Sus scrofa: one gene and its partners. The protein of the gene in region 1 interacts with the protein of each later gene in a biochemical or structural test. Links are inferred from orthologs where the notes say so. Each region holds a gene or a part of one and is shown in the gene's direction. Other genes may lie near its edges.

Region 1 (3,751 bases):
AAGGGCCGAGGGGGGTGGACTGTGCAGAAGAGAGCTACTAAAGCAGGCCTGAGACTGCTCTCCTTAGAAAGACTTGCTCCGTGGTTGGCCCTTGGCTGGCATTTCAGTTCTTGGATTTCAGGAAGGTTCTCACCATTTCCTTAATGATAAAGAGTCGCTCACTGGGCCTACACTGTGCAAACAATGTGGTTTATGCTGTATACCTGCGTTCCCTCCAGGAATCTGGAATTTGGGTGTATGCTAGCAGAGGGCGCCCCCAGAAAAGCCCTAGGAGCTGAGTCTCTAATAAGCTTTCCTGGTAGATGACAGTTCATGCATGTCATCACACTCATTGCTGGAGGAATCAAGTGTGTCCTGTGTGACTCCACTGGGAGAAGACTGTGGGAAGGTGGGGCCTGGTTGCCTCTGGATTTTGTCCCATGCGCTTCTTCCCTTTTGATTTCGCTTCGTAGCCTTTCGCTGCAATAAACCTTAGCCGTCTGTGAGTAGGACTCTATGCTGAGCCCTGGGAATCTCTTAGTGAATCATCAAACTGGGGGTGGTCTTGGGGAGCCCCAACACAGAGCAAAGAGAGACTTCTGGCGTGTTGGTAGTATTCTCTTTCTCAGTCTGGGTGCTGTTTACATGGGGTGTGTTCAGTTTGTGAAAATTCACTGAGCTGTACAGTTAAGATATGTATACTTTTCTGGCAGAGGGAGTCAACTTTATAAAAAGATAAAATGGATATTACACATCACAGGGGTTAAAAAAGAATAACTTAATTAAAAAAACTTATTTAGTAAACATTTTATTTTTTTAAAAGTTTTTTATGATAGTTGATTTACCGTGTTCTGTCAATTTCTGCTGTACAGTGACCCAGTTATACATATGCATATTCTTTTTTTCATATTATTTTCTATCATGTTCTATGACAAGGGATTGTATAGAGTTCCCTGTGCTATACAGCAGGACCTCATTGCTTATCCATTCTAAATGTAATAGTTTATTTAGCAAACTTTTTTTTTTTTTTGCTTTTTTGCTTTTTAGGGCTGCACCTGTGGTACATGGAAGTTCCCAGGCTAGGGGTCAAATGGGAACTGCAGCCACTGGCCTACGCCATAGCCACGTGGGATCTGAGCCAGATGTGCAACCTACACCACAGTTCACAGCAATCTTTAACTCACTGAGAGAGGCCAGAGATCCAATCTGGGTCCTCATGGATGCTAGTCAGGTTCATAACCCACCGAGCCACAATGGAAGCTCCCTATTCAGCAAACATTTTAATCACTCCTTTTTATTAGGCACTATGCTGGGAGCTTGGGACATGGGGTAGGAATGATGTCATCATGCCACTTTGTTTATTGGGAGTCAGGTAAAGAGATACTTGTAATTCGGTTGATTTTTGCTGAGTTCTAGCACAGACATCATAGGATGTCTAACTATTACCAAAGACTACTAACCTGGGTAATCGGCTATTGCAGGGTTTCCGCTCAAACATCTACAGAAGCCAGACAGGCAAATGGGCAAAGGGGTAGCTGGGAACTGTGGCAAACTGGAAAGGTATGTAGGCATAGAGTTGCCACAGCAAGTAGTTTTCCTTAAGAAAAAGCCACAAAACTGATTTTTTTATGTGCGCTCTCTGTATTTTTGAACCTGTAAATGGATCCAAAAATTTAACAGCGGGAGACCAAACAAAACACCTCTGCAGACCAAATTTGGCCTTGGTCTACCAGTTTGCCAGGCATTCCGCCAACCAGCCACACAGTCCCTCTTACCAAACAATTGAAGGTCCACTATTTTAGGCGCTGGGAGACAGCAGTGAGCCAGCCAGCCGACTTTCTTGCAGAATAGCGGGGTGGGGGCTCTGGTTCTGTGCTTCTCAAACTTCCCTAAGTGTAGGACTCACTGGGAGGCCTGCGGTGAGGCCTGAAGCTTTGCCTTTCTAACAAGCTCCCAGGTGGTGATAATGCTGGTGGTTCCTGCACCATACTTTGAGTAGCCTTGAGCTGTAACCCAGAGGCTCGGGAGCAGCTGTTATTTGAAGGAGGGAAGTAGGGGGTTTGTCTTGAAGGTCACATTTGCCTGGCAAGCATCCTCTTTTTACTTAGATTTTAGTTTACTGCAGGGACTTGGAAGAGAGTTGATGACGTCGAAGGCGGGTGTTAAGGCTCTCCCAGCTACCTCTCGGCGCTGCCGGGTCTCCGTTCTCAGTTTATAAGCTCGAAGGCGGGGCAGGGGTGAAGGAAGGTGGTGGGAAAAACTTCCTGGGGGAGGTGCACGTGGACTGCCCGACCTTCCCCAGCCGCCGAGAAAGGGAGAAACCCCGAACTCCCCCTCTCCTGGGACTGGGTCTCAGCATCCCCACGCCGGGTCTGGTTTCCCAGGCATCCCACGTGTCCGCGAGTCCCTGTCAATCAAGCTTCTCCTCCCCGGGCTGGGCACGGGTTTAAAGGAGGCTGCTGCGCAGAGAGCTCCCATAGTGCCGCGCGGCGGGCGGGTTTGGATTTTAAATCCCCGCGGCCAATCAGTAGCGCGTAGGCTTTTGTAACGTTCCCGGCGCCGCGTTTGAATTCGAGGAGGGGCAGAGCGGTGCCAAGCCTCGGCCCAGACCCTGCTAGGTCCGCTGAGCAACTCCGGGGACATGAGTGCGGCGGCAACTACAGGGAAGCTGGCGCGGGCACCGGCTGACCCAGGAAAAGCCGGGGGCCCCGGAGTTGCAGCTCCCGGGGCCCCGGCGGCCGCTCCGCCGGCGAAAGAGATCCCGGAGGTCCTAGTGGACCCGCGCAGCCGGCGGCGCTATCTCCGCGGGCGCTTTCTGGGGAAGGGCGGCTTTGCCAAGTGCTTCGAGATCTCGGACGCGGACACGAAGGAGGTGTTCGCCGGCAAGATCGTGCCGAAGTCGCTGCTGCTCAAGCCGCACCAGAAGGAGAAGATGTCCATGGAGATATCCATTCACCGCAGCCTTGCCCACCAGCACGTCGTCGGCTTCCACGGCTTTTTCGAGGACAACGACTTCGTGTTCGTGGTGCTGGAGCTCTGCCGCCGGAGAGTGAGTGTCGCTGCTGGGAAACTGGAGCTGCCTGCAGGCTGGGGTTGGGGCGTCCGGACCCAGCTGCTGGGGAGGGGACCCCCCGGGACTCGGAGCTGCTGGAGAGGAGGTGCTGGGTGGGAATCTCGAGCTGGAAGTGGAGAAGGTCTCGAGTAGAGAGGGGGCTTGGCACTTGGGGCTGCTAGGGGAGGGGGGTTCGGGTTTAGTGGAGCCCGGGTCGCGTTGCCTCTAGGGAAGGCGGCTCAAGGACGCTAGGAGTTGGGCGGAGTTGGGGAGGCGCGGGTCGCGGGAGAGCCCTGCTAATGGTCTTCCGGAGTTGCTAGGTACGGGGTGCTCTGGACCTTCCGGAGTGGGGTTGGGTCAGGCACAGGGTAGTTGGAGCCAGACTTGGGGGCTTCCGGGGAGGAGAGGGGTCAGAAAAGGGATCTCTTGCTGCGGAAGAGGCCTGGCGAGGGGGTGGCGGGGGGGGGGGGGGGGCATACGGGGTACTCTTGAACTTCCTGAAGGGTTGAGAGAGGAGTCCCAGGTAAGGGAGCTGGTGGGAGAGAGGGCGCTCTGAACCGTTGTGGCCTGGCTTAGGGGAGAGTGGAGAGCATAGCTGTCCTGGAGAAGGACTGCTGGGTAGGGTCCTAGGCAGCTTTCACCTAATGATACTGCTTCCCTGCCTTGGGCCTGAGTACCCACTGCCCGTTCCTCCTTCCTCCCCTCGCCAAGTCTCTCCTG
Region 2 (3,751 bases), on another chromosome or scaffold:
CAGGCTAGGGGTCGAATTGGAGTTGTAGCTGCCAGCCTACACCACAGCCACAGCAATGCCAGATCTGAGCTGTGTCTGCAACTTACACCACAGCTCATGGCAACACCAGATCATTGACCCCTTGAGTGAGGCCAGGGATCGAACCTGCAACCTCATGGTTCCTAGTCAGATTCATTTCCCCTGCGCCACAATGAGAATTCCAGAATTTTTTTAAATATATAGTGTGATACCTTTCTGTAAACAAGCAGTCACAATCAACAATTTTTTAAATCCAGCTCTATGTATAGATATTTTATTCAGCATGCAATTTTTTTCCTAAAATTAACAATGCCAGTTAATTCTAGGATTATATTTCAGGATTGGAAAGAAAGTTTTTTTTCCCTTTTATTTACTTACTTTAAAAGGTGGAAAATTGGAGTTATGGTTGATTTTTTTGGGGGGGAGTATTTAAAAATTGTATTCTTAGATAAAAATTATTCTTGAATAATTATTTTTAATTAAGAAATCTAACAATTAAATTAATGAATACTATCACAACACATATACCCAAAATAAAGCAAGCAGAAAATTATTTGGTGTAGTTAAAATACTACCAAAGTTTATAAGGCAATTGTATTTTCTTTTTGGTTAAAAAAAAGATCAGATCACATATAAGGTAACTTACTCCACAAGGTAACTTACTTAGAATACTTAGAATAAATACTTAGAAGACTTAGAATAAATAATAGGGAATAAATAGAGTTTTAAAAGGTGAAATAGATGATGAAATCTTCTCATGGTCTAGTACAATTATAAAAATTAAAAATTTTTGATGATTTTATTTTGTCTCAAGAATTTCCCTTACAGGTATTGACTTTTTCAAAAGCTGTAAAGGAAATTTTATTGCTATATTAATCTTTCCAATTATCCATTTAACTTAAAAAGCATGTTCTTATAATAACCATAAATATGGAATTTTTATGTATCTTAATTTTGAATAATGTCATTCCATTTCCTGTATAATTTGGTATCATAGCATGAATCACTCCTTTGTTGAAAACTCTCCTCAGAATTTCTTGGGAGAAAAATTGGACAGAAAATTAATTTCCTCTTTGAGAGAATTCTTAGAATTTAAATGACACTATTGGTTGAACTGAAACCACAAAATTAGCATTTTACTAATCACTAGGTTTAAATATTTGTGAAACAAAGAGATCTGCCACCATCTTGATCATCAGCTCAGCTTGCTTCTTCTTTCCGGTCTTGGGTTCAAGGTATTTCATTTACATATAGCAAAATGTGATATATTATGATTTCAATCTGTCTAATTTTTCACTCCTCACTAAAAAATATGCACTGGTAACTTTTCTGTGTGATTCCAAATATTGATACCTTTTAATGATATACTGGTGGCTTAAAAATGCATTTGCAAATGTCGATGCCATCTATCTCAGAGCTTTAGTTGAAAAATAATAGTTTTATAAAGACCAAATTTTTTTTGCCAAATTTTATGAAAACTTATTATGTGAAATAATTTATAATCTTTTTAAAGATCATAGTGAGGATCATTTCTGGTAGAATATTTCAAGACCATTTTTATTCCATGTCATTAGGTTAATAAAATTAATTCTATAAAGGATATGTCAATGATATACACAGATATAAATGACTACTTTTTAAAAGATGGTTAGATTTGGATATTTGGAAAAATGCAAATGAATAAAACCAGTAAACTCATTTTGGATTTATAAATATGTCTTCCTTACAAATGCAGTTAGATTCTACAATATGTAGACTGAAACAGTATGTATAAAATAAGCTGATTAGTTTGTTGGCTAATGTATAAACAAATTGCATGTATATTATGACTTTCTTTTCCTAATTTCTCTGGAAACCAGTTTCCCAGGACATAAGTTCTAAGTATCTCTGGGTTCTTGTAATTTGATGGAACTCTAGAAGTCACACATGATAAGACATCAGAATCTTATGATTCTGCTCAATGAAGTCGTCTTTATGCAGTCATGTCATGGATATAGCAATGTAGAAAAACATAACATAATAGCTAGACTTTAAAAAAAAATTGATGGAGGTTAAATGTTTCTACATAATATGCACCAACAGTGTTTTTCCCAAAGACGCTGAAAAAGCAGGATGCTCTAACATAGACCTAGAAAAACACCTTCAAAAAATTGCAGATAGGGAGTTCCCGTTGTGGCTCAGTGGTTAACAAATCCGACTAGGAACCATGAGGTTGCAGGTTCAATCCCTGGCCTTGCTCAGTGGGTTAAAGGATCTGGCATTGATGTGAGCTGTGGTGTAGGTCGAAGACGTGGCTTGGATCCCACGTTGCTGTGGCTCTGGTGTAGGCTGGTGGCTACAGCTCTGATTCAACCCCTAGCCTGGGAACCTCCACATGCCGTGGGAGCAAAAAAAGGCAAAAAGACCAAAAAAAAATTTTTTTTTCAGATAAAATTAAATGCCAGTTCCCTGTGCCTTTTAGTTTATTATCAATTTTTAGCAAATCTGATGGTCTAAGAGGAAATATTTAAAATAATTAATTGTAGTATTCTTAAATTTAGTAGTATTTAAATATTAATGTTTATGTATTCCTCTGACAAAACCCTATTACCACTTCAAGGATCAAATGTTTTGTTTTAGAGGGTGATACTGGTGTTTCTTATCTCATATAAGCACTAAGCAAGATAATTTGAATGATAAATTTTTCTTGTGAGTAAATTTTCTGTCAGACCTAAATTTTTATTTTGTTTTCTTATATAGGTGTTGACAACCATGAAACTTCTCATCTTTATCTGTCTTGCAGCTGTTGCCCTTGCCAGGCCTGTGAGTATGGTAGAGAATTTAGAAGCTTCTAGATTCTTGATTGAAATTACCTGATATCAAACACAAGAAACTGAGGATAATAATCTTAAAAGTATTGAATGATCTCTAATTACCTTTTGAAGCCTTGATATTAAAACTGTAGAAATCCTTCACATCTTGATCATTATTACATAGTTCATTCAAAGTCATCACTCCAAATAAAATCTGAGTTGAAATATAAATGCCTCACAGTAAAAAAATAAAAACAAAAAATGAAAAGAAAAGAAAAAGGAATAATGTATTTAACAACATAGTAAATAGAATCAATGAGTGTTATTACGCTCTTTGCCTGAGTCCAATAAAGAATTAGCATATATTTAAACATACAAGTCCATGATTTCTTTTCTGTGGAAGGGCTCATTTGTGCCTTATATAAGATTCCAGGTATCAGTGATATATCATTTGGTATTTGTCTTTCTCTTTCTGACTTACTTCACTCAGTATGAGAGTCTCTAGTTCCATCCATGTTGCTGCAAATGGCATTATGCCATTCTTTTTATGGCTGAGTAGTATTCCATTGTGTGTATATACTACATCTTCCGAATCCAATCATCTGTTGATGGACATTTGGGTTGTTTCCATGTCCTGGCTATTGTGAATAGAGCTGCAATGAACATGTGGGTGCATGTGTCTCTTTCAAGGTAAGTTTTGTCTGGATATATGCCCAAGAGTGGGATTGCAGGGTCACATGGTAGTTCTATGTGTAGATTTCTAAGGTATCTCCAAACTGTTCTCTATAGTGGCTGTACCAGCTTACATTCACACCAACAGTGCAGGAGGGTTCCCTTTTCTCCACCCCCCCCCCAGCATTTGTTATTTGTGGATTTATTAATGATGGCCATTCTGACTGGTGTGAGGTGGTATCTCATGGTAGTTTTGTTTGCATTTCTCT
Region 3 (3,751 bases), on another chromosome or scaffold:
CATTTAGAATTGTTATCAGGATGTTAATTTTTTTTTTCTAGACATACTAACAAAGAACCGAAGCCACAGAAAAGTACCCCATCAGGTAAGTATTTAGGCAAAAACAGACATCTGCTCGACCGGCACACTCATGTCCAACGGGCTTCCCATCCAGACTACGTTATCCACGTCCTTCCTTTGAGAATATATGTGTGTTCTTGCTAGCATTACATTGATGTTGTTAGGTTTAGATTTGTACATAAATCTCTTCTACATTTAATATACTAAAAGTGATGTGCTTGCTAGGTATTAGAGATACAAAAAAATAATTATTTGCTGACGAAGAAGCCAGAAATTAGAACGAAGTTATGAGTTTTAAATACTCCAGAAGAGACTATTTAAGACTTAGTGTTTAACTAGGAATTCAGAGCAGGGACAAAAGCAGTAAACAGATTTTCACATGTTGCTCAGATGACTCTTTTCCTTCCTATTTGAAGTCTCAGACTTTGACGCCGACGATGCCAAGGATAATGTACCGCCTTCTCCAAGCTCTCCGGTTGCTGATTTCCCAGCTGTAACTGAAACTATAAAACCTGTTTCTAAGAAGAACGTGACAGTGAAGAAGACAGCAGCAAAAAGTGAGCCTAAATCTTTGAGATGGGCTAATATTGGGATTAACTAACCGGCTACTACAAGTCAATTTCAATTTTTTATTTTGTTATTGAAACTAAGCCTTTTTCAAATGAAAACAAATCTTTAGGTCTTTAGTATCAAAATTGCTAGTCAAAAGGTTTAAAAATAGCATGTTTCTTAAAACATTAAGCATTATCTTAGCTTATTTCTATGATGATAGGCCTTACAAACAGTTGCAAATGTTTAACATGAAGCTTAGACCTACAAAAAAAATCCTATTAGGAATTCCCATTGTGGTTCACTGAGTTAAGAACCCGAACATTGTGTCTGTGAGGATGCAAATTCGATCCCCGACCTCACTCAGTGGGTTAAGGATTTGGCATTGTCATGAGTTATAGACATGGCAGAGGAGGCTCAGCTCCAGTGTCGCCCGTGACTGTGGTGTAGGCCAGCAGCTGCAGCTCCAGTGTGACCTGGGAACTTCCGTATGCCATGCGTGTGGCCCTAAAAAATCAGATTAAGAATAACTTTGGGAGTTCCCATCGTGGCGTGGCGCAGTGGTTAACGAATCCGACTAGGAACCATGAGGTTGCAGGTTCAGTCCCTGCCCTTGCTCAGTGGGTTAACGATCCGCCGTTGCCATGAGCTGTGGTGTAGGTTGCAGACGCGGCTCGGATCCCGCGTTGCTCTGGCTCTGGCGTAGGCCGGTGGCTACAGCTCCAATTAGACCCCTAGCCTGGGAACCTCCATATGCTGCAGGAGCGGCCCAAGAAATAGCAAAAAAAAAAAAAGAATAACTTTGATTCTCTAATATAGTTTCACCTCTATTAGGTTGTCTTTTCCTATGGTAAACATAAGCAGTCAGCAGGGTGCTGAACAAAGTTCAGTGCCAGCAATTCCCCACAGTTCATCTACGACTGGCCATGATCAATGTCTGTGTTGATTTGCAGGTCAGTCTTCCACCTCTACTACAGGCGCCAAAAAAAGGGCTGCACCGAAAGGAGCCAAAAAGGATCCAGACTTGGATTCTGATGTCTCTAAAAAGCCTAATCCCCCCAAACCTAAGGGTCGCCGCAAAAGGAAGCCATCCACTTCTGATGATTCCGACTCTAATTTCGAGAAAATGATTTCTAAAGCAGTCACAAGCAAGGTATTTATCCTAGTCAGTCCCTTTGCTGTAGATGTTTTGAAACACATGACCAAGCTTTGCTCCTAATAATTTGGCACATTTTTAAGAAAATAAATTTTAATCTCATAATCCATTATGCCTTTTACTCGATGTGGTGTAGCTGTAAAAAGTTAAATGTGCAGATAATTAGTCAACGAGGGAGTTGCCTTGGATCTTCTTCTAACTATTTATTAAAAGATAATAGCAAAAAGACAAAAAAAAAACTAAAATAAAATAAAAGATAATAGACAAGTCCTTGAGTTATAGTCTGTCAAAACATTTCTTGCATTGACTTTCTGCTGTCAGGTTGACACTGTGCAAATTACTTGAGCTTTTCTTTTCTAGAAACCCAAGGGGGAGAGCGATGACTTCCATCTGGACTTAGACTTGGCTGTGGCTTCTCGGGCAAAATCTGGACGGACCAAGAAGCCAATTAAGTACCTTGAAGAATCAGATGAAGATGATCTGTTTTAAGATGTGAGGTGATTCTTTTAAGTAATGGCCTCTTTGAGCCCAAGACTGGTTTTAAAGTTACCTGAACCTCTTAATCTCCTCCCCTGCGAGTTGAGTTTGGGGAAGGTAACTGAACTCAGAACCACAAAGTGAAGTGTGTAGAACCCAAGTGGCCCTTAATGTTTCTAATACTGTCTAAGTCGTGACTGTCTTGTGGGCGTTGTTTTCTTCTCTGCTTTGTGTATGTACTGAGTCTGTTTTCCTTTTAAATCTGATTTTAAGTTTTTCTGGCCTCCAGAGATCGTTCTATGGTCACTTCAGCATAATGTATTTTGACCATTCATTAAGCTAAACTTAGAGCATTTTGACCTAAAAGTTTCTACTCTGCCTACATTCAGTAAATATGAGATTAGGCATGATTAAATCTCTATTTTATCTTAGTTGTGTAGATAATTTTCCATTAGATAGACTTTATGTAGTTCCAATATCAAATATTCCTCTCAGCCTTTTATCTGCTGAATTTTTGTTTAAGCAGTGAAAATTGTTCATGTTCTTTGCATCCATCTGAATATCAACAGAAGCTGAGCAAAAACCATGACTGTGTCTACAGAACCTCAACACAGTCAACAGGATGAAGAAATTTAGACCATAACGTAGATTATCTCAATTCTTGACTTAACCCCTCTGGCTGCCTGAGTCTGAATGTCCCCAAGAACAAAATTTCTAGGCGGCGCTAGATCACAGGGAGTGGGGACAACATTCACTCCAGAGATCTTACATATTACGTTGATGCCAAACCGAGCCGTGAACTAACTGTTCTATCCATTTTGAGAAATCTCCAGATTTTCCACTTGTCAACTTTTTTAAGACCTTCCTGTATTTGTTACATGTGTGTGACCTGAGTGGTATTATCAATGTTTTTGTAAATATTTACTATGTTTTTCTATTCAGCTTAATTCCAACAATTTTGTACTTTAATAAAATGTTGTGAACATCTCAACCCATGATTCTTGCCCATCTTTTTCCCCCTGCAGTATACCCTTTCTTTATCTAAAATATATACCTCTTGGAGTTCCCGTCATGGCTCAGTGGTTAACGAATTTGACTAGGAACCATGAGGTTGCGGGTTCGATCCCTGGCCTCCCTCAGTGGGTTAAGGACTAGAAAAGACAAAAAAATAAAAATAAAATATATACCTCTTGACTATTCACTGTAAAATAGTTTGGGGGACCATTCTGATCACTTTCTAATGTGCCCGACAGCTCTTGGCCAAAGTGAAAGGTCTGAGAGATCAACACCATGACCTAATCGTGGGCCAACCAGGTTTTTCCTGGGATTTTAAACATAGGTACTAAAGTCATCTCCTTAACACTCCAAAGGCCTTGGCCCTACATCAATAAATAGTTATAAATGTAAACTTTTTTTTGGCCACACCTGCAGCATGCAGAAATTCCCAGGCCAGGAGTTCCCCATGTGGTGCAGTGGAAACAAATCTGACTAGTATCCATGAGGATGTGG

Evidence for each region.
Region 2: of the proteins of PLK1 (region 1) and CSN1S1, one has a biochemical effect on the other in vitro, tested with the Homo sapiens proteins (2 studies listed by BioGRID). The link is inferred for Sus scrofa from reciprocal best matches to the Homo sapiens genes PLK1 and CSN1S1.
Region 3: of the proteins of PLK1 (region 1) and TOP2A, one has a biochemical effect on the other in vitro, tested with the Homo sapiens proteins (2 studies listed by BioGRID). The link is inferred for Sus scrofa from reciprocal best matches to the Homo sapiens genes PLK1 and TOP2A.

What each region holds. Positions count from the first base shown.
Region 1 is NC_010445.4:22,548,307-22,552,057, reverse strand, and holds the start of PLK1 (serine/threonine-protein kinase PLK1), read left to right. Parts: upstream 1-1,162; 5' UTR 1,163-2,620; coding exon 2,621-3,028; intron 3,029-3,742; coding exon 3,743-3,751. UniProt on the Homo sapiens protein: Serine/threonine-protein kinase that performs several important functions throughout M phase of the cell cycle, including the regulation of centrosome maturation and spindle assembly, the removal of cohesins from chromosome arms, the inactivation of anaphase-promoting complex/cyclosome (APC/C) inhibitors, and the regulation of mitotic exit and cytokinesis.
Region 2 is NC_010450.4:66,887,027-66,890,777, forward strand, and holds the start of CSN1S1 (alpha-S1-casein precursor), read left to right. Parts: upstream 1-1,204; 5' UTR 1,205-1,253; intron 1,254-2,757; 5' UTR 2,758-2,769; coding exon 2,770-2,820; intron 2,821-3,751. UniProt on the Homo sapiens protein: Important role in the capacity of milk to transport calcium phosphate. Casoxin D acts as opioid antagonist and has vasorelaxing activity mediated by bradykinin B1 receptors.
Region 3 is NC_010454.4:22,025,222-22,028,972, forward strand, and holds the end of TOP2A (DNA topoisomerase 2-alpha), read left to right. Parts: intron 1-41; coding exon 42-85; intron 86-476; coding exon 477-617; intron 618-1,562; coding exon 1,563-1,762; intron 1,763-2,125; coding exon 2,126-2,254; 3' UTR 2,255-3,231; downstream 3,232-3,751. UniProt on the Homo sapiens protein: Key decatenating enzyme that alters DNA topology by binding to two double-stranded DNA molecules, generating a double-stranded break in one of the strands, passing the intact strand through the broken strand, and religating the broken strand.